5 linked regions of the Xenopus tropicalis genome follow. The protein of the gene in region 1 interacts with the protein of each later gene in a pairwise test. Links are inferred from orthologs where the notes say so. Each region holds a gene or a part of one and is shown in the gene's direction. Other genes may lie near its edges.

Region 1 (5,162 bases):
AACTGATGCAGTCTTCATATGTTTTCTACACTTGCGCCATTTATTTTGCAAAGTGTCTCTGGTCTTTTGGAGTGTTGGGGGGAATGTTTAGGTGGCCCCTAACTTGCACGTCATTCAGGCTGCAATGGAGCCCTGTGCTTGACAGCTTTCCTGTGGTAGGCGGTAAGGACAGGTCTGCCTTGTGCTGCTGGCTCTAAGTAACTGACCCCTAATATGGATCCTATTTCCATAGCAGCCAAGGGTATTGGGTGGTAGAATGCAGCTTATGGGGGGCCTTAATAAGGGACCTTACAAGAGATCCTTACTTGCTAGAGAACCTTGCTAGAGAACCTTGCTTGCTAGAGAACCTTGCTAGAGAACCTTATTATATGTGATAGAACACGTGGTGTGTTTGCTGCATTACTAAATTCACAGCCAGTTAGACGTTTTGGCAGCGGAGCTTTTCTAAACAGATCCAATTGGACTTGATATGAATAAAGTCAGATGGTCCTGGTCTTTTGGTGTTTTTCCTCGAAGGGCTTGAAGAGTTTGCCTTTCATCTCCCCCCCCACCATCCTCGCTGAACTCTCCATCACCTTGATTATTTCCCATGCCATTGGCAGGATGGGAATAGAATACAGCTTGGCGTCGGCAGCCGTTCCGAAGTTATGTGTGTGTGAGAAAGGGAGCCTGAAAAGGTTGGCGGCCCCTAACTTCGCCTGGAATGTCCCTATTAAATGCTACGTTGTTGTCTTTCGGGAGGGATCCTTTAGAAGTGAGATAAGCAGGAAGACAAATGGACATTCTTCTCCTGTGGTTACAGTTTGTATAGACCACGCGGGTTCACAAACAGAGCTCAGGTTCTGCGCATGTTCTCATGAGGCCCTTGCGCCCCGGGAAGGCTTTCCTACAGCGAATGTCACTTGTGCTGTTGTGCAGTTTCCCTGTACAATAATTAACCTGCTACTGTGTGTGAGGAATTTACTGCATCGGTTGAAAGGTTGAAACCATTTAACCCCCTGGGGACGTATCTTGGCTGTGTTTGCCTGCTGGCATTTTGCTACATTTGTCGCCAAGCTGCCCAAACTTTTTTTGTGGTCCTCCATTATCATAAGAAGGTTACTGGAAACATCAGTTCTCTTCATCTTAAACTTACATGTAATTGGTGACACCAGGTCCAATGTGATCTTCTGGCCAGACCTCCAGCCAATCGATATCAGCCCCAAGTCTCAACCTGAGTGGCCTTTAAGGTGGCCATACACGGGTAAATTTGCTTGTCTGACTCGCCAAGCAAGTGGATCTTCTCCCAATATGCCCACCTAAATGTGGCCAATATGGGGCTAAATGATCAATTACAACATCGGGCATAAGCGCAGACAGATCAAGGACCACATCAACGAGCCAATGCTGTCCCGGATCTGACAGAAAACCAAATCTACCCGTGATTGGCCAATTTTAGGCCAGGTATTGGTCGGGTAGGCCTGTCGGGGGTGCCCATACATGGGCAGAGAAGCTGCCAGAATAGTCCCCATAGTTTGGAAACCAGTGCTCTGTCAGCTGTTTCTTGCTCAGTGGGAGTTCTATGCGTCAGTGAGTGGGGGTGGTAGGGTGCTGTGTTTGCTCATTACATTTGGCTGCTTATAAGCCTGTGTGGTCATCGGCTGTTATTTTTGTTGGAGCCAGACACATCTCCATGTGGGGTGTGGGCTCAGTGTATTTAGCTGCTGCCATTGGTTGGAGCCAGATAACGTCACATTACCAACTTAAAAGCCTGGTTGTTGTCATTTATTCCATAGAAATCCTGTATTTTCCCCTCCCCGGGATACTAAAATTCTCCGACTGACAGCGAAGCCATGACAGGTGCTTAACTTGTACAGCTCCCAGCGCTGCTTTTCTCCCTCGTGTCTGTAAGGCTGACCTCTTTATTTAACAAGGTGGTACATTCCTGTGAGGAACTCGCCAAACAAGAACCCATAGACAAACATTTAAACACTGTGTGACAGGGACACGACAGACGACAGTCTGATAAGAATCCATGTACCGTATTGCCAACAAATATCTGATGTTGCAGAATGAAATAATTCATTTTGTAAAAAGCCTTTTAGCATCTAGCTGTGACTTACACACATTTATACAAACATATGATAATGCATGGGGACAATAGAGCTAATGCTGATTTGTAGCAGAGCTATTTGTGTGCCGGCATCATTATTTCAGTTGTTTCTCAGCTCCATAAACATCTGATTGCAAAGCACTCAGTTTGCTTGTTATTATGATAATCCTGCAAGTCTGTGAAACGCTCATGTTTATTCTCTTTTATAGGAGTTTGCCGCACTTACAAAAGAGCTAAATATTTGCCGAGAGCAGCTTCTAGAGCGGGAGGAAGAAATAGCTGAACTAAAGGCTGAAAGAAACAATACTAGGGTAAGTCAAGCATGAATGCTAGCTTGGAATATGTGTGTGCAGCATGGCTGCTCATTAAAGGGAAAATATACCCCCCTCCCCTTTTTGACCTAAGCTCATTCACTTGGGCTTATGGAGAAAAGGTACATGTACACTAACTGTATCAGAGCTGGAGTGGAATTCAAAATAGGCCCTGGCATTTCTAGTACGCAGAGGCCCAAACAGCCTCCCCACGAGCCCAATAGTGACAGTCTATGGCATCTTACAGCAGCCCCTCTGGCATTTGCCAGAATCCACAGAGCAGTCCAGGCCTAATCGGTACTGTATTCCACAGATTGAAAGGAAGCTTGTTATAGATAGGAACCAGTTCACAATATCCCCTAAAACAGTGGTGGGCAAACTTATTGGTCAACTGAGCCAAATATCAACAAAACAGCGATTGAAATTTCTTTTGAGAGCCAATTTTTTTGCAGACTGTCACTGGCTCACTCGTGCATGAAACGAGCGAGCCTCCCCTGCACTGCGTCTCCCGCCCCCCGCCTACGCTGCTTCTCCCGTAGCCCAAAGACCACCCCCTCCTGCTGATTTTTGCTATGGGCAACGAAAATGCAATCGCACTTTACGTGCTAGTCCGCACCTGGAAGAGCCAAATTCAAGGGGCTAAAGAGCTGCAGTTTGCCCACCACTGCCCTAAAACATTAAGATCTGCTCATTTGGCAAGGACGAGCAGATCTCTCGATTGGCTGGCAAAAGTTGGCTAATTTGTCTCTAGGGCCAAACGATCGATTTACAACAACCCTTTTAGGAGCTGTCAATATAATCAGTCCGGGGGCCCCGTGCATGGGCATATAAGCTGCCCATTCGATCTAAAGGGCTTGAATCAGCAGCTTAAATCTGCTTGTGTCTGCCCACCATTAGGCTCACAGTATAATGCAAACCCCCTCTCTTGTTGTTCCATTGTAAAATGATGGATTTTGGGACTTGACGTCCTTTTGCTTTCTATAGAGGATGCACAGATTCTCTGGAAAGCAGAGGCACAGTCAAAATCCATCACTTTCCAATGGAACAAGGTTAGGGATGCTTTTCATTTCACTTAAGAAGGGTGAGGAACTTAGGCACCTTGTTTTGGGTTACATAAAAATCTCTTTAGTTATAGTTTGCCTCTAAAGACATAGATGGTGCATTGATAGATTGTGTAGGCACTGTGCGGATGTTGAGCTTTGGGCCTAGTTTCATTCATGTGTGTTTTTCTAGCTCTTACTAGAACATCTGGAGTGTCTGGTTTCCCGGCACGAAAGGTCCCTAAGAATGACCGTGGTGAAGAGGCAGGCTCAGTCCCCTGCTGGTGTGTCCAGTGAAGTTGAAGTCCTAAAAGCACTAAAGTCTCTGTTTGAGCATCACAAAGCTTTGGATGAAAAGGTATTTTCTTGACTTTAAAGGGGTAGTTCACCTTCAAATTCACTTTTAGTACATTGAATGATGGTCTTCCCTGTATTTTTTATGGTTTTTCAGTTATTTAGCATTTTCTTCAGCATCTTTCTGGTTTGGTATTTCAGCAGCAGTCTGGTTGCTGGGGTCTTATTTACCCTAGCAACCAGGCAGTCAGTGATTGACGGGGTCAGTGACCCCCATTTGAAAGCTGGAAAGCGGCAGAATAGGAAGGAAGATAATTCCAATTTCCAATAAGACCAATTGCAAAGTTGCTAGGAATAGGACATTCTAGATTCTTTCTGCATTTTGTCTACACACAAACTGGCCAATGTGGCCCCTAATCTGCAGATCATTCAGTATTTCCAGTTGGATTTTTCTTTTCCTGATTCTGTGTTTTTCTTTAGGTAAGAGAGAGGTTACGGGTGGCATTAGAGAGATGTAGCTTATTGGAAGAAGAACTGGCTGTAACACACAAAGAGGTAGGTCTGCATTCTAAACTTGCTTGCTCTGTATTCCTGCATTGTTTGAATGATAAGTCTGCAGCCTTCCATGGCCGCCCCAGGCAAGTGGGCCTGATATATATTTATATACAACTGCCTTTTCGGATCCTGCTCAGATGTTATTCTGTAAATATTTTATACCATTAGCTGTGGGTTTTTTTTTTCAAGTTGGCAGAATGGACTGTACATTTCTTTTGGGGGATTGGAATGAATGCTCATCTGTTTTCATGCAAGTACAGAACAGGAAGAGGTTTGGAAACCACTGTTCTGGATGGGAGTCCTTTAAATGCGTCAAACTGATTTTTGCCAAAATGTGTCTGTTTTCAGCTGATGATTTCAAGAGAGCAGAATAATCAGAAGAAAATATTCAATGACGGTACAGCCGATGTCAACCACGAGCAAGAGAACGCACTTAACGCTAACGGGAAGGTGAGATGGTTCAAACACGGCTGCTGGCAATGTTGGCATATGTAATGGTGCTTGTAAGTCCAGTTGTAGCTTTGGTATTGGTTTATGTCTCCAGTAAATATAGATATGGACAGTTTGGACCTGGATAACCTAATCCATCTCCCCTAAATATAACATTTTTGGATTAAAATGGATTACCGCTATTTATTATTTTTTTTTTTTTTATGACAGAGATCATCAGATTGCTCTATAAATCATAATGAGGACCTATCTAAAGTGATGGAGCTCCAGGATATCATAGAGAAACAAACCAAGGAGCAAGTTCAAATGAAGGAGCGCCTGGCTGTTCTTTCCAACCGGGTAACAGAGCTAGAAGAAGACCTCGATACTGCAAGGAAGGACCTCATCAAATCCGAAGAAATGAACTCAAAACTTCAACGG
Region 2 (5,162 bases), on another chromosome or scaffold:
GAACCCGCCTCCCATACAACAACTCAAAAGGAGAGAACCCAGTAGACTCTTGGGGAACTTCTCTATATGCAAACAAAAGACAGGGCAGAAACTTCTCCCAGTCACCTTCTCCAGCCTCCACAAAAGTTCGTAACATATTTTTAAGAGTCCCATTGAAACGCTCACACAGGCCATTAGTTTGAGGGTGGTACGGGCTTGAGCGAAGAGAGGTGACCCCACAGCGCTGCCATAGACACTGAAGTAATTGGGACATAAACTGTGGCCCTTGATCGGATAGGATCTCACTAGGAAACCCTACTCGTGAAAAAATCTGAATCAGTGCATCTGCAACGGCTGGGGCATCAATTCTCCGTAAAGCCACCGCCTCTGGGTACCGGGTGGCATAGTCTACCATTGTAAGTATATATTGCTTGCCTGTCCTGCTGGGTCGGCTAAGGGGTCCTATCAAATCAACAGCAACTCTCTGAAATGGCTCCCCTATCACTGGTAAGGGTCGCAATGTATGCTTGTTCCGCTCCCCACTTTTCCCAACCCTCTGACAGCTGTCACATGATCGGCAGAACTGTGCCACTTGTTGTGACAACCCTGGCCAATAGAAATTTTGTAGCAGGCGATAGCGCGTGCGAGAAATCCCTTGGTGCCCTGCGAGGGGTACCTCATGTGCAAGGTGCAGCAACTGGGTCCTAAATTTGGCAGGCACCAACAACTGACGGCATGCTTCCCTTTGTTTTCCTCTAGGGCTTTTGAGGACTCTATAGTACAACCCATCCTCCTGCACTATTTGTTCCCCTGCTTCGGTACCTACCACCCCTTGCCCAGCTCTGTCTCTTAATGGCTGAAGACTAGGGTCTGCTGCTTGTTCAGCCCTAAAATCCTGCCAATTACCTATGTCAAATGAGTCATCAGTCACATCTGTCTGCCCATTTACCTCCTGGACAACTGCCGGTGGCTCGCCTGACTCTGCCTGCCGCCTCGTGATGCTGCAGCAAATGTCTCCCACATCATTTCCAAGCAGGACATCAGCAGGAAGTTGATCCATGACCCCCACTTCATGCAGCACGGGCCCTTCTCCCCAGTCCAAAGTCACTTGTGCAATTGGCACCTCTCTGCGCTGTCCTCCAGCCAGAATCACTCGGGCCATTTTCCCCAGAACGATGCGATTTAACGTCACCACACTAGGTTCCGCCAGAGTTATAAAGGCACCAGAGTCCAGGAAACCTTCCACTGGGTTTCCATCTACTTGCACTGGAATCACATGGCATTTTCTCTTGGACTGATCTGCCCAGTGTATCTGCATTACTGCAAATTCGGGGGTCTCACTTAGGTTGATTTCAGGCAGGTCACACTCTGCACTTTCCTTCTGAACAGTGGCGACAGGTCGAGCAGGCGTCACCTTTGGAGCCCCTGACACAGAAGGAGATCGCTGGTTTAGAGGGCAAGAAGCTTGAAAGTGACCCAGGGCCCCGCATCGAAAGCAGCTTCTAGGTCCAGCCCCTGGTAGCGGTGGGTGGGGAGCAGCATTAGTGCCAGTGGAATGCGGATGAGAGCCTGGCAGCTCTCTTGCCCTGGGACCTGTTGTACCTGGTGCTTGGGGCCCTCTCTTTGTAGGCATCCTGGTTTCCATATACTTGTCTGCCAACTGGGCAGCTTCTTCTACTGTCTGTGGCTCACGGTCTACAACCCACTCTCGGACTCCTGGGGGGCACCGCTCCAAAAATTGCTCTTTCAGGCATAATTGCCTTAAGTCCTCCATTGTTTCAGCCCCAGACCCTTTAACCCACTTGTCAAGGGCCCTTGATAACTTGTTACCAAACTCAAGGTAAGTATCCTGGGGGGTCTTTAGCAGTGACCGGAATGTTTGCCGGTAAAACTCTGGGGTGATAGCATAACGGATCAGCAATGCTTGTTTAATCTCCTCATAGTCCAGTCTTTGTTCATCAGACAAGGCCCGAAATGTAGCGCTGGCCCTTCCAGTTAGCTTGCCAGAAAGGATTCGGGGCCAGTCCTCTTCTGAGATGTTATGGGCCCTGCACATAATTTCAAATGTCTCTAGAAAGGCATCAATGCTGTCCTGCCCTTCGTGAAATGTGGGGAAGGCAGTGGCAAGCTTCAGAATGTCTCGTGCCCGACTCTCCACTGAGGACACGGATAGCCTACCATGCTCCCCTAAGCCATGTCCTTCACTGGCCACCTCCTCCTGCACCATTTTCATCAACTCCATCTTTTCTGCCACAGTCAGCTCCTCACGGAACAATTCCAGCCTTTGTTTAAACACCTCTCCAACCCTGTCTCGGGTAGGGTTGGCTGGTGGCCCCCGGACCGCTTCAGGGGCCCCAGCAATAGCAACATCTGATGTAACAGTCTCAGCATCTGAATGTAGGAGGGGCAGCAGTAAAGCAATAATCTCTGCCTTTTTCTTCCCTTCTGGGGCTATGCCCCTTCTGCGACTCCACTTTCTCAGAGTGGCAAGGGTTAACTCCTCCAGGTTTACCCCCCACACCCTACTATGGAGCCTTCGCTGCCAGAAGATAAAATAGATCCGGTGGGGGTGCAGTTTTGAGCCGTTCCTGGCACAGATACCCCCACACACTGCAGGGTGGCACAAAAGAAAGGACCAAGTGAATGTATGCCTGCAGTTTGCCAATAAAGCACTGGAGTGGCCCAAATAGGCCAAAATAAAGTTTTTGTTATCCTCAAGGTCAAATCAGTAAGCGTGGGCTGCTCTCCCCCCGCAGGGATGTGGCACCTTGGGCACCTTGTTAGGCTAGGGGCCACTGGCACAGACACACCTTTCATCGGAGTTCTTCTATTTTCATATCTTTTATTGATCCAAGGATAAACAACATATAACCCTGTATGCTCTTATGTGTAGTCCAATATAAACATCTATACAAAGCACAGGCTTTTTATATACTCACATTATCTTCATACACTCCATGTATTAATCTCATATACTCCAAATACTCATAATATACTCAGGTTATCCTCTATACACTCTTACTCCTACTTCTACTGTTCTCAGATTGTCCGTTGTGATAGGATCTGTTATTCGGAAACACTTTATCCACAACATACATAGGTGCCATTTCCTACACTGTCCTGTTCTGTTTTATTTCCCCGATGGGATATAAAGATTCAGTGATTTGTTAGTTTCGCCTCGGCGGGGCTCCCCTCTGTCCTACCCCCATACTTACCCCCTGACCCACCCCTGTACTTACCCCTTGCGCTCTGTCCCACCTTTGTACTTACCCTCTGTCCTACCCCTGTACTTACCCCCTGCCCTCTGTCCCACCCCCATACTTACCCCCTGCCCTCTGTCCTACCCCTGTACTTACCCCCTACCCTCTGTCCCACCCCCATACTTACCCCCTGCCCTCTGTCCTACCCCTGTACTTACCCCCTGCCCTCTGTCCTACCCCTGTACTTACCCCCTGCCCTCTGTCCTACCCCTGTACTTACCCCCTGCCCTCTGTCCTACCCCTGTACTTACCCCCTACCCTCTGTCCCACCCCCATACTTACCCCCTGCCCTCTGTCCCACCCCCATACTTATCCCCTGCCCTCTGTCTTACCCCTGTACTTACCCCCTGCCCTCTGTCCTACCCCCTGTACTTACCCCCTGCCCTCTGTCCTACCCCTGTACTTACCCCCTGCCCTGTCCTACCCTTGTACTTACCCTCTGTCCCACCCCCTGTACTTACCCTCTGTCCCACCCCTGTACTTACCACCTGCCCTCCGTCCCACCCCCGTACTTACCCCCTGCCCTCTGTCCCACCCCCGTACTTACCCCCTGCCCTCTGTCCCAACCCCGTACTTACCCCCTGCCCTCTGTCCCAACTTTGTACTTACCCCCTGCCCTCTGTCCCACCCCCGTACTTACCCCCTGCCCTCTGTCCCAACCCTGTACTTACCCTCTGTCCCACCCCTGTACTTACCCCCTGCCCTCTGTCCCACCCCTGTACTTACTCCCTGCCTTCTCCTCTCTCTTTCAGTTCACCTGGTTGACATTTGGAATATGATAGAAGCTTTCCGGGACAACGGCCTTAACACACTGGATCACAACACAGAGATAAACGTGTCCCGGCTAGAGACCATCATATCGTCCATATACTACCAGCTCAATAAGCGCCTCCCTTCCACCCATCAGATCGGCGTCGACCAGTCCATCAGCCTTCTGCTCAACTTCATGATCGCTGCTTATGACAGGTCGGTCCCGTCGGCTTTCCCTGTATGTGTGGGTGTCAGCAGTGATTCCCTTCTGGTTCCGACTACTGACTCAGCTGGGAATGTTCTATATACACAGAACCTATTCAGTGCCAGCAAGCAGACTTTGCAGTAATACCGGCCCAGTAACAGAGCAAGGGCAAGTGGGGCAATACCCCTGCATGTTTATTGGGTAAGCTGCAACATTTCAGCCCCCCAGTCACATGCAATAAACATACAGGGGGTTGCCTTCTATACCGAGCGCCGAGCCCACAGTACCAGCAAAGATATGAGATTCTGGTTATACTGGGTTTGTTCCACATCCGAACTGTACCTAGTGATCTTATTAGCAGTAATAATTCACTATCCCTTTAGGCCAGGAGAGGCCCTGTAGATCTGCTAAGGCGGATGGAGTCAGAGGGAAGCTCCAATCAAGGCATTGGCAGCCTACAGAGAAATCCATGTTGTTGTGGTTAGTGGCTTGTACTGGAAACCAACCTATGTTTTGTCTCGGGAGCAAATTGGGAAAGAAGCTTAAATTATATGCCCTGGGGTTAAACAGAAACTCCGGTTGGGAGAGAAGCCACATCCACAAGGGGAAGGTGGAGAGAAGGGGGCTAACAAGTAAGGATTAGGGGCTGGATAAGGCACTGGGGCAGCCTGGGAAGGCAAGAGCTGGCTTTGGCTAAGGAGGCACACAGCTCTGTTTGTAGGGGAAATGGGAAGCTGATTGTAGATAACCCCACAGGGCTATGTTGCCTCAGGGCTAGGGTGCCTCAGGGCTAGGGTGCCAGAGGGCTAAGGTGCCTTAGGGCTAGGGTGCCACAGGGCTATGTTGCCAGAGGGCTGTGGTGCCAGAGGGCTGTGGTGCCACAGGGCTAGGGTGCCACAGGGCTAGGGTGCCAGATGGCTATGTTGCCTCAGGGCTAGGGTGTCACAGGGCTAGGGTGCCAGCCTAAC
Region 3 (5,162 bases), about 75 Mb from region 1:
ACACTGTGGCTTTTAATTTTTGGCTATGTTAAAATAAAAAAAAAAATGTAGGCGCCTAAAAAACCCTTTTTGGGGTTTACTCCATAAAATGGAGTCTCCACTGGTTTGACTACCTCTCTCCTTGTCTTTGCCCACTTGTTGCCTTGATCTGCGACCCACTAACCCTTAGCTGGTTGCAGTACACATGTTGTGTTATGTTGCAGTCTATCAAGCATGGTTCTCCTTTGTTGCTGTAAAGATAGCAGTGTATATCTTACATGTATATACCCAGACTTACCCAAATATATACCCTTCAGTAAAACTAAAACCTCCATATACTGAGCATGACTTCCCGTATCATATTTATCCAAAAATATGTGTGAAAAAACATCTCCTCATAGCATGTATACCCATCAAATTTGTTATGCATGTAACCTTTTTCCACAAGTCTGCACCAGGTGTAGTGTTTGTAGATACTATTTTTCTAGCTTGATTCTGTGCCACAACAGTTTCTTCATTTAACATGTTCATAGCTATATGTGTTACCCTTCTGTTTTGGCCTAATGACCCTGTAAACCCGTGCCTGCATTACCCATTTACCCCCTGTTCTCTCTGTCTTACCAGTGGAGACCTGAGGATGTGGGAGATTACGTGAGTATCCCTTGTATTTTAAGTCTCTGGGCAGACTGCGTGATCGCATTTTATTTCATGAGAAAAGCAGGCTGCCACAGAGCCAACCTCTGCTGAGAAGTGAATAGCACAAGCAATGCCCAGCTCATGTATTCAGTGGGAACAATATTTACATTAAAGAAAGAACCTATAGAGTGTCCCTTTACAGAATGCCACCTCTTGTAGTTTACTGGTTAATCCCGCTGCTATGAGAATCTTGGGTTTGCTTGTTCCATTTGCACCTGATCTGGCAAGCATATGTTGGTCTTTGTGACAGTCTTCTGCCTGTTGCATAATCATTGGTTAACTTGATTGATTTCTTGGATTCTCTACCTTTGCAAATTTACTGTCCTCTATTTTCCCCTTTATCACTCACTTTTGCTGTTGTTTGACTGTCTCTTTTCCCATGATCCACTCCTTTCAACCTGCGAGCATGGAGTGGCAAAATTAATTTGCATGGAGGCCTGAAAGATCATGGGTTGTGTTGGTTTCTTGATCACTGGGGTCTATATTGGTCGGAATGTATTTTGGCTGGTGCTGGGGCTGGCATCTACACCTACCCTTGCCACATGCAGCCTTGTGATTGTCATGCTAAAGACATTATGGCGTATAGTTTCCAAAAAAATGTTTGGCTTAGTGACTTGCACAGAAAATAAATGGATTGCCCTTCATCTTCATCTTTATGAAGCTTAAATTGTACTGCATTCCCTTGCAAAACATGGCATATATTACAAGTTATAGCTTTCATGTAGTTTTTATCTTTATTTTTCAGTTCATTCCTGGGTCATGGGACATGTTAAAGTTTTCTATTACCTTATAAAGAATGGTGGTATAAAGATTAATATTGTTTTTCTCTTATTAAAACACAAACGATCTGCAGAGCACTAAGCCACTTTTTTCTTTTAAGCGAGTTTCTCTCTTGCAAGAATGTAAAGCATCCTGGATTCTATAACATGATCTCACAGCTCCCCCTTGTGAGCTTACACATAATTCCAAGTGCTTGATGTACTTTTCTTGTGTGGTGACACTATTTATCTCCATTATTTAGGATGCTGTTATCACTGGCCTCTCTCCTGAGACCACTTATTCCATCACTGTGGCCGCCTACACTACTAAGGGAGATGGTGCTAGAAGCAAACCCAAGGTCGTTAGCACCACAGGAGCTGGTAAGAATAGAATGGTAACTAGTATTTGTTGGGCCCAGCTATAGACACACAAAATTGTGTTACCATCCGTTACAATCAATATTATAAGAAAATGACAAAATGAAAAAACATTGAATCCCGAGTTTAGCTCATGGGTTTCCAATTGGATAGCTGTGAATTACTGATTGCAGCATTCTGATGTGCACTGTAATGATTATGTTGTGTCCTAGGTCAGTAAAAAAAAAAAAATCCTGCATTCCTTATGATGGCTCGTTATAAGATCCATGGCTTTTCTGGCTAAAACAAGGGTACCCTAATATCTAAGGGTTGGTTAGTTATAGCTTTGTAACACTGGATGGGATGCTGCTGTATATGACTTAATTTCACATAAATGTAGCAAGCAATATGATCCCAGGTCAATAATTCAGTACAAACAAATGGGTCAGCCTTTGTGTGCAGGATGCTGTGTCATTGAACACTTAAAGGAAAATTGGATGAGGGTGACCAATTAAAAGGGTTTTTTTAAATTTCCAAATATTCCTATTGCTGTATTATCCATACTGCGAACAAATGCTTGGTCCCATTCCAGCAGTACAGTGCCTAACTCTATAGTTATGGCCAGCAAAGGAGTTGAGCTGTGTTAATGTTTTATATCCATTGTTTTACATTAACTATAAAGATATGTCATACAGCTTTGAATCCTTTGCCATTTGAAACAAGTAGGAATTTTCTTTATGCCACTCCTGTGGAAGTGGCATGCTTGGCAGCTTGTTTCTCTCCTCCTCCAACCCTTCCCTGTGTTAATCACCCAATAGAGTAGGTAGTTTTTAAGCAGAAACACGCAAAAACGGATTAAGAAACTCCAATTTAATAATTTTTCTGGATTAGTATTAAGCTACAAGGTTAGAGAATTATTTATCACTTTCAACCTGTTGCTCTTCTGTTATATTTGAACAAGTAGTGCAAAAAAACAAAAACTGTTTACTGGGTCTTATTGCTTGGCAGTGATGATCATAAGTGTACAGTATGGGGGAATTAAATGTTAAATGTGATGAGCTCTGCTGAGCTTGGGTAGTATAGCATAGAAAGGAAGATAATGTTTGTATTTGTCAGGACAGTTTGTCTTAATCTCTGATTGGGAGTGGTTCTCAGAGCTTCTGTGTTGGTTCATTAACAGTACCAATATTTAGAAGTGTATACTATATGATGTTATGTACGCTACTGAGTGTGCTGTGATACACTGGTAGCCTCCAGGAGAGCTTGTGGGAGAGTTGATAGAATATTGTTTGCATTACAAAGAGAGCATCTTTATAGGATGAGAGTGACATGACCAAAAAGGTCAGCTGCAGAATTGCTTAACATGAGAAGCAGGGCATATAGCACGGAAAGGAAGGCACAATTTATATGTGCAATTCCTCTTTAGAAAATTAAACATCTTTTCCATTACTTGTAAAACCATGTCAGGAATTTGGATAACACTGCTGTTTGACTTTAATAACATCCAAGATGTCTAGGCATGAAACATTTTATTAGACAGTTTTACTTAGTAAGCCACAACCCCAATTAATTTTGAAAGGGTTTTAGCAAACAGCAGTTCAGTTGCCTGGATTGACCAAATATAGATCCAAAAGGAGTCCGTTCTGTCTAGAATTTCAATATACTATCTTATATATAGGGATCATCCATGGAAGTAATTACAATTTTATTCAGAATGCTACAGGTTGTGATACCTGTAATGGGCCAGCAAATGCACAATTTTCCACACTATGTGGGCTTTGTAATTTGAAAACTTAATCAGAGCTTTAAAGACTTATGTATTCTTCCAAAGACTTGCCTATTTTCTGTGGTTTTGTTAAGGTTTCTGGTAGAAACCTCAAGATAGGTGAAAGATCATTGAAGAACACAGCTATAGATTTTAATTATTAATGTGATAATATCTTTCAGTGCCTGGTAAACCCACTATGATGATCAGCACCACAGCACTGAACACTGCTCTGATCCAGTGGCATCCTCCAAGAGAGATTGTGGGAGAGTTGTTAGGATATCGTTTGCAGTACAAGCGAGTGGATGAAGACAGGTTTATTACAATTGATTTTAGCAAGAATGAACATCACCACACAGTGACTGGGCTACATAAAGGTGCAAGCTATATATTCAAGCTTTCTGCAAAAAACCGAGCTGGAGCAGGGGAGGAATATGAAAAGGAAATTTCCACAGCTGAAGATTTTCCTAGTGGGTTTCCCCAAAATCTGCAAGTAGTTGGACTTACAACCTCTACTACAGAAGTGTCCTGGGAACCACCAGTGTTGTCTGAGCGCAATGGAAAGATCACCAACTACACAGTGGTGTATCGGGACATAAATAGCCAGCAGGATCTCACCAATGTCACTCGCGACACACACATAACATTGGTCAATCTCAAGCCAGACACCACATATGACATCAAGGTCAGGGCAAGAACAAACAAAGGCGCTGGCCCTCTAAGTCCTAGCATTCAATCACGTACAATGCCTGTTGACCAAGGTAACATAAGGGAGATGTAGAACTTTATAAGGGCATGGACATGTATGTTAGTAACTGAACAGTTTCTTCCTTTCTTTACAGTGTTTGCTAAGAATTTCAGAGTAAACGCCGTGACAAAAACCTCAGTCTTGCTAAGCTGGGAGCTGCCTGATTCTTACAAATCAGCTGTGCCTTTCAAGGTTAATATTACAGAAAAGTACATTTGCTTGTTATAACATATCAGTCTACAAAAGTATTAAGTGTTTCATAGAGTCACAGTATGACTCGGTTGGACAGTGTTTTTTCCTGGAATAAACCATTTATTAGATATACCATCTACAGTACAATTAGTGATTTGATGGCATATACATTACTCTTGAGCAGCTTGGGGGCCAGAAAAAATGCCTAGATGGTTGAATTTGGCTTTAAAAGCATTAAAGCACCTCCCTTTAATTTTCATGGATCTTCACCTTATACAAATCAAGGCATAGGGCCTTCCATAGCCTTAAGCTTGCCATACATGCACCAATAGTATTGTGCAAAACCTAGTTTTGTACAATATTCGGTGCGTGTTTGCCGGATCAAAGAGACGACCAGTATCGCGAATGCTTCAGATATCAGTCGCCTTGTCGATTGGGTGGGACAAAAGATTTTGATTGGGCGCCATTGAAGGCGTCTCAGCAAAATCTGTATTTAGAGCTGTCAGGTGGAGGTTAGAATCCCTATTGTTTCTACGTCCATATCTGACGATTCAGCCCTGAACGTCAGTGGAGGGAATGAACGATCTTTCCTAGGACCAATGGTCGCACAAAAGCTCGTTATTGGCACGTGTATGGCCACCTTTAAAGAGGGCTAGAATATATTGTA
Region 4 (5,162 bases), on another chromosome or scaffold:
CCTTTTCTTCACTTTGTACTGTCCATAGGAGACAGAACTTCCAGTTAGGGGTAGGAAGTCCTGTTAGTCCTGCACCTATAAACACTTTGTGGCAATATCCATTGCAATGATTCATTTGCCCTTTGCACACAAATTCAATAAGTAAAAAGCTGCATTAACTGATACCCTGTTTACAAAGAGAGTTGCATCCACTTTGGCAGTGAACATGATGATCTGCATCCATACCTTGCACTTTGTGCTCACTTCATAAACGAGCCCTAATGTTCATTCCACCCTGAAGTAGGGAGCAGGAAATGGAAATAACCCTGCCCAACTACCTTATCCTGTCCTGTACTTTGGTATTCAACATGTTGAGCTATAATATAGCACCAGAAGAGATTTCAGCCTAAACAAAAAGGGAAAAAAATTCACCTAGAAAGCCACACAATGACCTCATCATACGCTGGCAGTGGAATCAGGACAATAGGATTTTAAGCATGATGTATACAGGGGTATAGATAAGATAATTAAGCTTTTTGTTCTGCAGCACCCCAGTTTGAAATTCAAAATCTGTTACTAATGTCTTAATTACTGGTACAGTTAAATGACTAACTGATAGATGAACAGAAAGCTAAATTACAAAAATGTAATGAAAATAAAATTAAAATATAGATTTAGGTTTAATACACATTTGGTTGCTGGTGTCCGTAATGTATTTTATATTTCCGTCTGTAGGAAGCAGAACTGAAAGTCAAACCGTTTAAGCAGATCGGGAACCACAGGCAATACAAAATGTAGACTTAAGCTGTGTCACACTTACAAATTACATCATACTATATGTTTAATTTAAAGAGATTCTGTCAAGATTTTTATGGTGTACTTTTTATTTCCAAATTACGCTCTTTACATAGCAAATAATTCACTCTAACATTTAAAATGTTATTCTTAAACCAACATATGGATTTTGTTTGTTATAATATTGTTGTGTAGGTAGCCATCTCGGTGCATTGTGCCTAAAGGTGGCCATACACGTGGCGATCCGACGATGTTTCGTACGACCATCGGTCGCACGAAACATCGTAAGATCCGCCACACACCATTCAGGGCTGAATCGGCAGGTAAGGAGGTAGAAACAATAGGATTTCTACCTCCTTCTGCCGATTCAGCTCTGAAGGGAGAATTTTGGTCAGGCGCCTTCTATGGCGCCCGATCAAAATTTTCAAACTTGTCCGATCGGCGAGTCGTCCGATATCGGCAGCTTCCTGCGATATCGGTCGACTCGCCGACATGCCATACACGCACCGATTATCGTACGAAACGAGGTTTCGTACGATAATATCGGTGCGTGTATGGCCACCTTTAATCTGAGCTTTTAGAAAGAGAGCCAGCGCCACACATTAGAATTGCATAACCTATTGTTTCACCTACTCCATTTAACTGGAGGAGTCCCAAGCCAGACTTGGATTTCTTACTAATGAGTGAAATCTACCTGGAGCTGCTATCTTACTACCTTCCCATTGTTCTGGAGTGATACCACTCCAACTTGCAGCTCAGCAGTAAAAGTGTGACTGAAGTTTATTGGACACCCTGGGAAATGAAGAATATGGCTATCCCCATGTAAAATTTCAAAATTAAATATAAAAAAAATCTGTACTTTAAAAAAAAACAAAAAAAAAAAAAACAGATTTCAATGCAGGATTCTGCTGGAGAAGTGTTAATAACTGATGCGTTTTGAAATAAAACATGTTTTCCCATGACAGTATTCCTTTAAGGTTAGCCACCGTATTAAGGTAAGAGGTAAGAATGCAAAGCAAAAAGGGAAACTGACAGACAAAAGGTCAGTTATCTGCCCACTGAACAACTCTCTAAAGAACCTTGTGTCACAACAGCAATAACAGAAGGTATTGAAATGTTTAAATCAAAAACAGTAATTATAAAATACATTTACTTTTAAAGCAACATGTTATCATACCCCATTCTTTTTCCTCCTAGTACCCTCTTCTTTTATGATGATAAAATATTCGTGGGTTAGCTATTTCTTGATGCTGCTTCCATGCTTTTAAAGTATATAGTCTCCAGTTTGTCCTGTTATTGCCGATGGTCAGTTAAACTTTTACAAAGCTACATTAGTAATATTTACTTAATATTTTCAGGTACCATGGCATGTTTTGTGTTGGTCTCATTGCAGTCAGAGATTAGAATACGGTCTGATTTTTATCTCCTACAGCTGTTGAAAGAGGCAGTCGAATCCCAGCGCATGTGTGAACTAATGAAACAGCAAGAGACCCACCTCAAACAACAGGTTGTACACTACACTCCCCCCCCACAACCATAAAAGCAGCGCCATGGCAGAATTCAGAATGCTGGGGACCTGGGGTATTCTGGATAAGGGGTCTTTCCATAATTTGGATCTCCATACTTCAAGTCGACTAAAAACTCAATAAAACATTAATTAAACCCCAATAGGATTGCTTTGCATCCAATAAGGATTAATTATATCCTAGTTGAGATCAAAAGGTACTGTTTTATTATTACAGAGAAAAGAAATCAATTTTAAAAATCTGAATTATTTGATTGAATGACGGATCCCATACCTGTATTTATTTGTGAACAAAATCTTCCCATATTAGACTTCCTCACTCAAGTAAAAAATGTTAACCTTTTATAGGCCATTAAACCTGATAAAAATTCTCTTGTCCTTTAGTTAGCACTGTATACAGAGAAGTTTGAGGAGTTTCAAAACACCTTGTCTAAAAGCAATGAGGTTTTCACCACTTTTAAACAAGAAATGGAAAAGGTAAGGATTAAATAATGAATAATTTTACTGCTCATTGCAGAAAATGTAGTAAATAGCTGTTGGATCATTAAAGCATTTATTTTAATTTTTATTTCTTGCAGCTTAAGGATACTGGCACATGGAACACGTTGAGTGCTGCAGTTTTTAAGTAGTCCAAAAACACAAAGCCAAAGTATTCAAAACTACATACAGACTTACATTGAAATTGTCTGACTGATAATTTTATGGGAAACTACTGCAGTTCTTCAACAAGCAATTTCATAGCTTGTCTGTGGTGTGGTGGTGGTGGTTTTGGACTACTCTAGGCACCTAGTGCCATTATCCTAAGAGAAGTTCCTTAAAACAAATTTAAAAGTAACATTGAATTAATGTAGTCTTCCTTTATTCTCATAATGTATCCAGATGACAAAGAAGATTAAGAAGCTGGAAAAAGAGACAACCATGTATAGGTCCCGATGGGAGAGCAGTAACAAAGCATTGCTTGTCATGGCAGAAGAGGTAAGAGAATGCATGCATGGATGGATGGAAGGAATGGAAATAACACAGGACTCCACATTTTATAGGAAGCAATATATATTCACCGAGGCCCTTTTGGGGACCTAAAACTTTCTGGAAATCAGCACAGAACTTGGAACACTGTAAAAGGAAAGACAAAATAACTGGTATCAAAAACCTAACACAACTCAATTAACCAGCGATCGGCAAAGGCCAGGATGGGTGGCAAACCTCAGTCAAATATGCAAAAAAACGAAATAAAGTATATATGAGGGCTTAGGCAGATTGTAAGATAGAAACCAGTCTGGGCAATGATACACTACTGGTGTAAACCTTTTTAACCAAAACAATGTGGCAAAATCATGGAAGCTTGGCAGAGAACTGGAGTGTAAACGAAATTGAAATTTAAATATAAAACTTATTGCTATCTCATGCAGCCCACATTTAATGATTCTTTTATTTATTTATTTTTTCCAAATTTGTACTTGTACTTTTAGAAAGGTAAGGGGGGGGGGGTGGAATAAATACGTTTTTTTTATTATGAGACTGCCTGCATTATTATTAATCATGGCATAAACAGATAAACAGAAATATACATGTGTGAAACAATTAGCTTTATGTCTAACAGGGTGTCTCAGAGATGATGCATTTGTTTGGAATTGCTTCCAAGTGTTACAAGTCACAGTGCAATCTCCATCCAGGGAAGAAGCACACCAAAAATCTGGCACATTTTTGTGGCACAAAAATCTCTATGCAATAAATGTGTTAAAGGCAATTGCCGGTATTTTGATGTGCTTTTTCCCTGGATGAAGGTCTATGGGGTTTGGCTTGAAGCAGCCTTGGAATTGAATGCACCCTATGGAATTATGTAAGTGGTGTGTCGAAGTATGAGTTTCTGGTATTATAAGTGATTCCATAAACAATGTTGCCTTTGTCCAGTAACCCAAATCAACCAGCCAACCGTTTTTAATACTTAAATTCACTTAAAACATGCAAACTTTTGCTCACAGCTCTACATCCTATAACCCCCTCTTACCTTTCTAAAGTAATCCCATAGAACATGGTCAACTGTACTTGGCATATAAGTATGTAGTTGTAGATTCCTTGCAAAAGAGTTCAGATCCCTGACCAATTCTGTCTTGACTGAATAACAAATCCTTCGCTGAAATGTTCTACACTGGGACAGTTTACTTTAGCCCCTGTGAAACTGCAGCACCTTTCACAGCAATTAATCTTTCAGGATCAGTATGTATTGCTTTGTGTGTTGTTAGGGAGTGATATTGGCTCAACCACTAAATTTTAAACCATTAGGCGGGGGTGCAATGAGGTTGTGACCACGAAATACATAGAAACAACAACAAGAGATCCTCTGCACTCACCCATTATCAATATATAGGACATTAAGACATTCGGTGCATTTAAGCTACTAAGAAATGCCCTTCCCTTTAAGCAAAACAGGGATTGTTTGTCCATATATTGCAATATACTTCAAGCTGGCCAACTGCGTCAGTCATCCCTTTTGACCAGTTCCTACACTGACTTATGCGATTCATTAAGAATTCTACTGCTTCAATATACATTTAGCCAAGGGGCTAAGTTTTACCTGCAACTTTCTTGCTTTCAAGGTTAAAACCCCCTAATGGTTTAAAATTTAGTGGTTGAGCACAACTTTCCCTTTTTTTGCTATAGCTTATACAGGAGCAGTGGCCAGCTCCTTGTTGTAGCTCCCACCCTTCCCAGCTGCAGTCAGGTGATCCCAGTGGAGCCAATAAAAGGGCAACCATATGGGGGTTTTACGTGACGTGTATAGTACACAAAACTTGTGTACTATACACGTCACGTAAGTTTTTTTCACTTCTTTGTTTGATTTTTCCCGCCATACACAGTATTT
Region 5 (5,162 bases), on another chromosome or scaffold:
AGCAAATGCATTTTTCGGTTACATATTTACAACCATTTTTTCAGGATACAATCTAGAACAGGTCAGTTTGAATCTTTTTTTATGTGGAAAACTGGGAACTGAACATGAGAATATGCAAAGGTGCTCTTCTCTCCCAACACTGCTTGTCTTTCTCTGCTTCTACTGCATTTGTGTATATATATATATATATATATATTTATATATATATAGATATATATATATATATATATATATATATATATTTATATATATAAAAGGGAATTTTTTCATAATATTTCTTTCCTCTTGAAGATGTATCCAAAACAGACATCTATATAATGTGTGGAACATCAACATGCCATAATATGCATTGCCTTGCTAACCTTTTAGTGAGCCGTCTTTCTTCACCTTTGTGTCTTTGGGCTCAACTGCTGCATTTAGATTGTCTTTTCACAACCATATCATTTTGTCCTTAGGTGTGGTAATGTGAGACCAAATTTATCTAGCTTCTTGCAGTCTATAATTTAGATGGAAGCAGAATGCTGAATAAGGAAAGTTGAATGCAGTTTTGTTGCAGTGGGTTTTGCCACTACAGTACAATACAGTACCTTGTTCTTTGCTACATTCCCATGTTTTACCCTAACTCAATAAACATGGTTCCTTACTATTAGGATTGCCACCTTTTACTAGGAATAATACCCGCCAGGGTATAGGGGAGGTAGGGGCTGGTCAGTTTATGGCACAAAATGAGCACAGTTATTGTGTGACACCTGTAAAGGGGGTGGGGTAATGACTTGAAGGGGCGGCACAGGATAGATTGGGCTTCTGTAGACTAGAGGACTGACCTGCGAATAGGAAATTGGGGTGGAACAACAAGTAGTTACATGTTTACTGGCAAATACATTGGCAGTATTTTACCCTACCTTTTGTGCACAAGTGTTTGGTTCCAAATGCTGCAGAGACAAATGAGTGATTATTGAACCCAAAAACTGTTTCATTCTTTTAAAAAAAAAAAATTATAGATCATTTTGCGAAATGCTGGCAAAACAGTTTTCTTCACTTGTTTACAATTTGTTTTACTTGGGATAAAAATTCTAAATAGACATTGTGTAAACCTAATGACATGTTATGTTATCTTGGACTCAACAGCTTAACAACAGAATTTAACAAGTAGGTAATAAGATTTCACTTTTAGTTTAGATTTCCTTTAGAAAAATTATTATTGCCAGTTAGAATCAAAGATAAATGGCAGATGGCATGTCTACTACAAGATGTGGTAGGACATATACATATAAGGACATAAAACATATAATAATGCAATACTGAATTCAAATTCTATTCTAAATACTATTTGATTTTAAGCTCAGTTTGCCTTTTTTTTTCTGCTTTCATTTTCCTAACACGGAAAATGAACACCCATAATTGTTGGTTTACTGATGACTTTCCTGTTGTACCATAGGTTTTTACTAATCTTCATATCATTATTTTTTAGGATGGCCAGTCACGAACAGTGCGACAGTTTCAGTTTACTGACTGGCCAGAGCAAGGAGTGCCAAAGTCTGGAGAAGGATTTATTGACTTTATTGGGCAAGTACATAAAACAAAGGAACAATTTGGTCAGGATGGGCCAATCTCTGTTCATTGCAGGTAAATAATTCTTATTAACAGTTATGTAGTATAATATTATTTTTAGATAAAATATATGAGATTAAAATGTCTTATCTTCCAGTATAATATATGACAAGCATTCTTGGCTGCACACATCCATGTGTATCTACATCAGACATATATGTTTATCTTTTCCTAACTTTTACAGCACTTTCTTCTAAGAAATATAAAACACCAAATATATCAGCCCATAATAATGGGCAGTACCTAAAGATTCAGTAGGGTTTACATTATTTAATATATCAAATTGTCACAAAATGAAACCTCTCAGACCTAATGAAGAATATAATAATATTTAACTGAACTTATGAACCTTAGAGTGGACCATCAAGAGAGCATTATCTGCCAGTTGCCACTTTGTGCAAGCTTGATATTCCATTTGCAAATTGCATGGGTTGTTAAAGAACAGTTTAAGGTCAAACCAAGTGTGGAGACAGGGAAATCTGTTCTACCCTATTCACTGCTTTGGATTCATAAACCAAGACCGTTCTTCTGGAGGCTGTGGGACAAATTCATATTTTCAAAGTATTGTCTATTTCCCAAGGGGACAATATAGTTATTTGTATGGAATGATTGCTTTAAAAATATAACAATCTGTGCATATAATATAAATATATACATATATACAGTACCTTGATTTGTGAATATATAATCCAATCCAATTGTGTCTTGTATAATTTATTCACTAGAAGGTTATATATAAACTAAGTTTTAAGTCCAATTAACTTTTTACTTGTATATTATGTAAAGGTATAAGCAAAATATCATGCTATATTATTATGCACTGTTAAGATGCATTTGCCAAGAAAGTATATGTATGGGCTCCATAATCTGTAAATCCATTTCCAGAAATGCCTAAATTATGGGGAGATCATCTCCCATAGACTCCATTTTATACAAATAATTCACACTTTTAAAACATGTATTCTTTTTCTTTGTCATAATAAAACAGTAGTTTGTACTTGATGGTAACAGAGCTGCATGAATCCATGTTGGTGGCAGAATAATCCTATTGGGGTTATTAAATTAAACGTAATTTTTAGCAGACAAAGCATGGAGATCCAAATTACGGAAAGACCACTAATCTGGAACACCTCAGGTCCTGAACATTCTGACTAACATTTCCTAAACCTGTACGAGCAGTTTTTGTTATCTGTTGTGTTAGCTCTAGTCCCTGAATAATAAATATTTGCGAAACATTATTGAAACTTGTACTTTGTTGATATTCAGCCTGAGGGCTCTCAACCTCAGTTTGGAGATATTCTGTTATTTTTTTTAAATGGTAAAGAATAGCCTAAATCCCCAAATAAACTTCTTTTATTATTTTTCTTTATATGATGCCAACATTCTTAACGGTTACATGTCAGAACAGCCCCGTAACAATCTCTCTATAAATAGAATTACTGTGGGATACAGAAATTACCTATTAAAAGCCTGTTTATGAAGTGTTAGTGTCAGAATGACTTTGTGTGACTTGTTCTCAGTCATACTGCTCAGTAGTACATCATATTAACCATGAACTTTTTTTTTTTTTTTTACACAGTGCTGGCGTTGGAAGAACAGGAGTTTTCATAACTCTGAGTATAGTATTAGAACGTATGAGATATGAGGGTGTTGTAGATATCTTCCAGACTGTCAAAATGTTGAGAACGCAACGGCCTGCAGTGGTACAGACAGAGGTGAGGGAACATACACTACATATGCCTATGATAGGTCTTTGGAACAGTTATTGGTTTTAATGTTTCAATAGATACTGATGCAATTTCATTCAGAAGCCTATTTAAGGCATAGATTTGTAAAATGCCTTGAAATTAAGGTACAAAATAACTGATAGTTTAAGTGTTAATTTTAACTATGATCTTTGATGTTAGTATTTCTTTTTTTATTGCATTTTTTGCAAGACTCGAAAATCTCTATATGGCTTGACTTTGCCTAGGACACCTCCAATTGATTTTTACATGAACTCGCAAGCTTTTAAATGCCGTCATTTTACATCAAGTTGTTGGATTGTTTTACCTTAATAAATATCAGACATTCGAATTTTTGAGCAATAATTAAAATTGTGCGAGTTGTAGCACTAAAATCAAACTCGAACGCTGATAAATCACCCCCTAATATTCAACATATAGCTAAGTTTACTATGGTGTCAAATAAATTTGAGCAGTGCAGTCCATGTGCTAATACTAAATATTAATAACAAAGTATATAGTATGTTATTCGGTTTGTATACATTAACACTGAGTTTACCATTCTCTTTCTTTCCATGTTTAGGATCAATATCAGTTCTGCTACCGAGCAGGACTTGAATATTTGGGCAGCTTTGATCACTATGCAACGTAGAACTTCTGGCCCATCCAGAAATTTACCTGCAGGCCCTTCAAGATCCAGAGAGCCTCTTCTGAGCCATACAGTGTGCTTGGGATGTACTTCTTAACTCCTAGCTAAAGACCAATTACAATAATTGGAATATTATAAAAATAAAAGACATTTTCTGGGTGGACCAAGAATTCACACTTTAATACCTAACATAAAAAAATAAATAACCCTCACTGGGATGGCATCTGAAGGGATAATTTCTCTGTGAATAATCCAGAACCAGTTGGCATTAAAGGGAGGAAGAGGAAATCGCAAAGAACCATGAACTTGTCTGGGATTGCATGATTGTTCAAAGACAAATCTTAGGAATACAACAGCTCAGTGCAAGATGTTTATTGAGCCTACTTCTGGCTTCTTAGACAAATGGAATCTTTGCTTCGACATCAGCCCTTCTATCCATATTGACCATAACACATTAGTAAAAGAAATGGGTGGGAAATGTTGAAAAACAAAGTCATTTATTTAGTTTTTTAGTATTGTAAAGATACTGCTGACCTGTGCTTCATTATTAACGGTGTAAACTTTATTTTCCTTTTTTTTAACAAAAATTTATAAAGAAAGTGAATAAAACATTGCATAATTGTTGATTTTTGATCCAGAACTGTATTTTTTTTATGCGGTAGAACTGTTATATGTAATATCCCTAATTAGAAATATAAAAACTATTGAAAGATTTGCACATATGTGTGCATTTTGACTTATAAAGTGTCATATTTTTTATCTCATACTTCTTTTACAACGTCATATTCCCATTTTTTTTTAAGTCATATTATTTGCAAAGCATTCAAGACAAGCTTTTTTCATGTTCTGTTTGGAATCAACAGGGAAGCGCAAAGTATAAAGCTGCTGCAAGAACACATAAAATATATATATATTCATACATAAACTGTATATCAGCTCTTCCACAGATTGATTTGTTTTTTGAGTTAATCATTGTGGTTTAGAGTCTAAAGTATCATATCATTACTACTTTTCAAAAAAATTACAAAATCTTCAATCTTTTGTTTTTATAACGAATGAAGGAATGCACATCAGTGATATTCTAGGTTCACCCCCGAAATTTGCCACATATTCACCAATCTACATACATTGTAAAGGCTTCCACTGCACTACAATCTTTGTAACACTTTAGTGCAATA

What was found. The genes of interacting proteins can lie anywhere in the genome.
Region 2: the proteins of ppfia1 (region 1) and dtnb interact in binary tests that used the Homo sapiens proteins (3 or more experiments, as listed by UniProt). The link is inferred for Xenopus tropicalis from reciprocal best matches to the Homo sapiens genes PPFIA1 and DTNB.
Region 3: the proteins of ppfia1 (region 1) and ptprf interact in a two-hybrid assay, tested with the Homo sapiens proteins (2 studies listed by BioGRID). The link is inferred for Xenopus tropicalis from reciprocal best matches to the Homo sapiens genes PPFIA1 and PTPRF.
Region 4: the proteins of ppfia1 (region 1) and txlna interact in binary tests that used the Homo sapiens proteins (3 or more experiments, as listed by UniProt). The link is inferred for Xenopus tropicalis from reciprocal best matches to the Homo sapiens genes PPFIA1 and TXLNA.
Region 5: the proteins of ppfia1 (region 1) and ptprd interact in a two-hybrid assay, tested with the Homo sapiens proteins (2 studies listed by BioGRID). The link is inferred for Xenopus tropicalis from reciprocal best matches to the Homo sapiens genes PPFIA1 and PTPRD.

What each region holds. Positions count from the first base shown.
Region 1 is NC_030680.2:14,513,346-14,518,507, forward strand, and holds part of ppfia1 (liprin-alpha-1), read left to right. Parts: intron 1-2,301; coding exon 2,302-2,403; intron 2,404-3,636; coding exon 3,637-3,801; intron 3,802-4,217; coding exon 4,218-4,292; intron 4,293-4,640; coding exon 4,641-4,742; intron 4,743-4,952; coding exon 4,953-5,162. UniProt on the Homo sapiens protein: May regulate the disassembly of focal adhesions. May localize receptor-like tyrosine phosphatases type 2A at specific sites on the plasma membrane, possibly regulating their interaction with the extracellular environment and their association with substrates.
Region 2 is NC_030681.2:161,052,486-161,057,647, forward strand, and holds part of dtnb (dystrobrevin beta), read left to right. Parts: intron 1-3,991; coding exon 3,992-4,205; intron 4,206-5,162.
Region 3 is NC_030680.2:89,619,920-89,625,081, forward strand, and holds part of ptprf (receptor-type tyrosine-protein phosphatase F), read left to right. Parts: intron 1-603; coding exon 604-630; intron 631-1,696; coding exon 1,697-1,814; intron 1,815-3,737; coding exon 3,738-4,316; intron 4,317-4,397; coding exon 4,398-4,495; intron 4,496-5,162. UniProt on the Homo sapiens protein: Possible cell adhesion receptor. It possesses an intrinsic protein tyrosine phosphatase activity (PTPase) and dephosphorylates EPHA2 regulating its activity.
Region 4 is NC_030678.2:86,598,411-86,603,572, forward strand, and holds part of txlna (alpha-taxilin), read left to right. Parts: intron 1-2,206; coding exon 2,207-2,281; intron 2,282-2,683; coding exon 2,684-2,776; intron 2,777-3,167; coding exon 3,168-3,182; coding exon of another isoform or gene 3,183-3,274; intron 3,275-5,162. UniProt on the Homo sapiens protein: May be involved in intracellular vesicle traffic and potentially in calcium-dependent exocytosis in neuroendocrine cells.
Region 5 is NC_030677.2:126,371,654-126,376,815, forward strand, and holds the end of ptprd (receptor-type tyrosine-protein phosphatase delta precursor), read left to right. Parts: intron 1-1,471; coding exon 1,472-1,626; intron 1,627-3,190; coding exon 3,191-3,326; intron 3,327-3,918; coding exon 3,919-3,987; 3' UTR 3,988-4,593; downstream 4,594-5,162.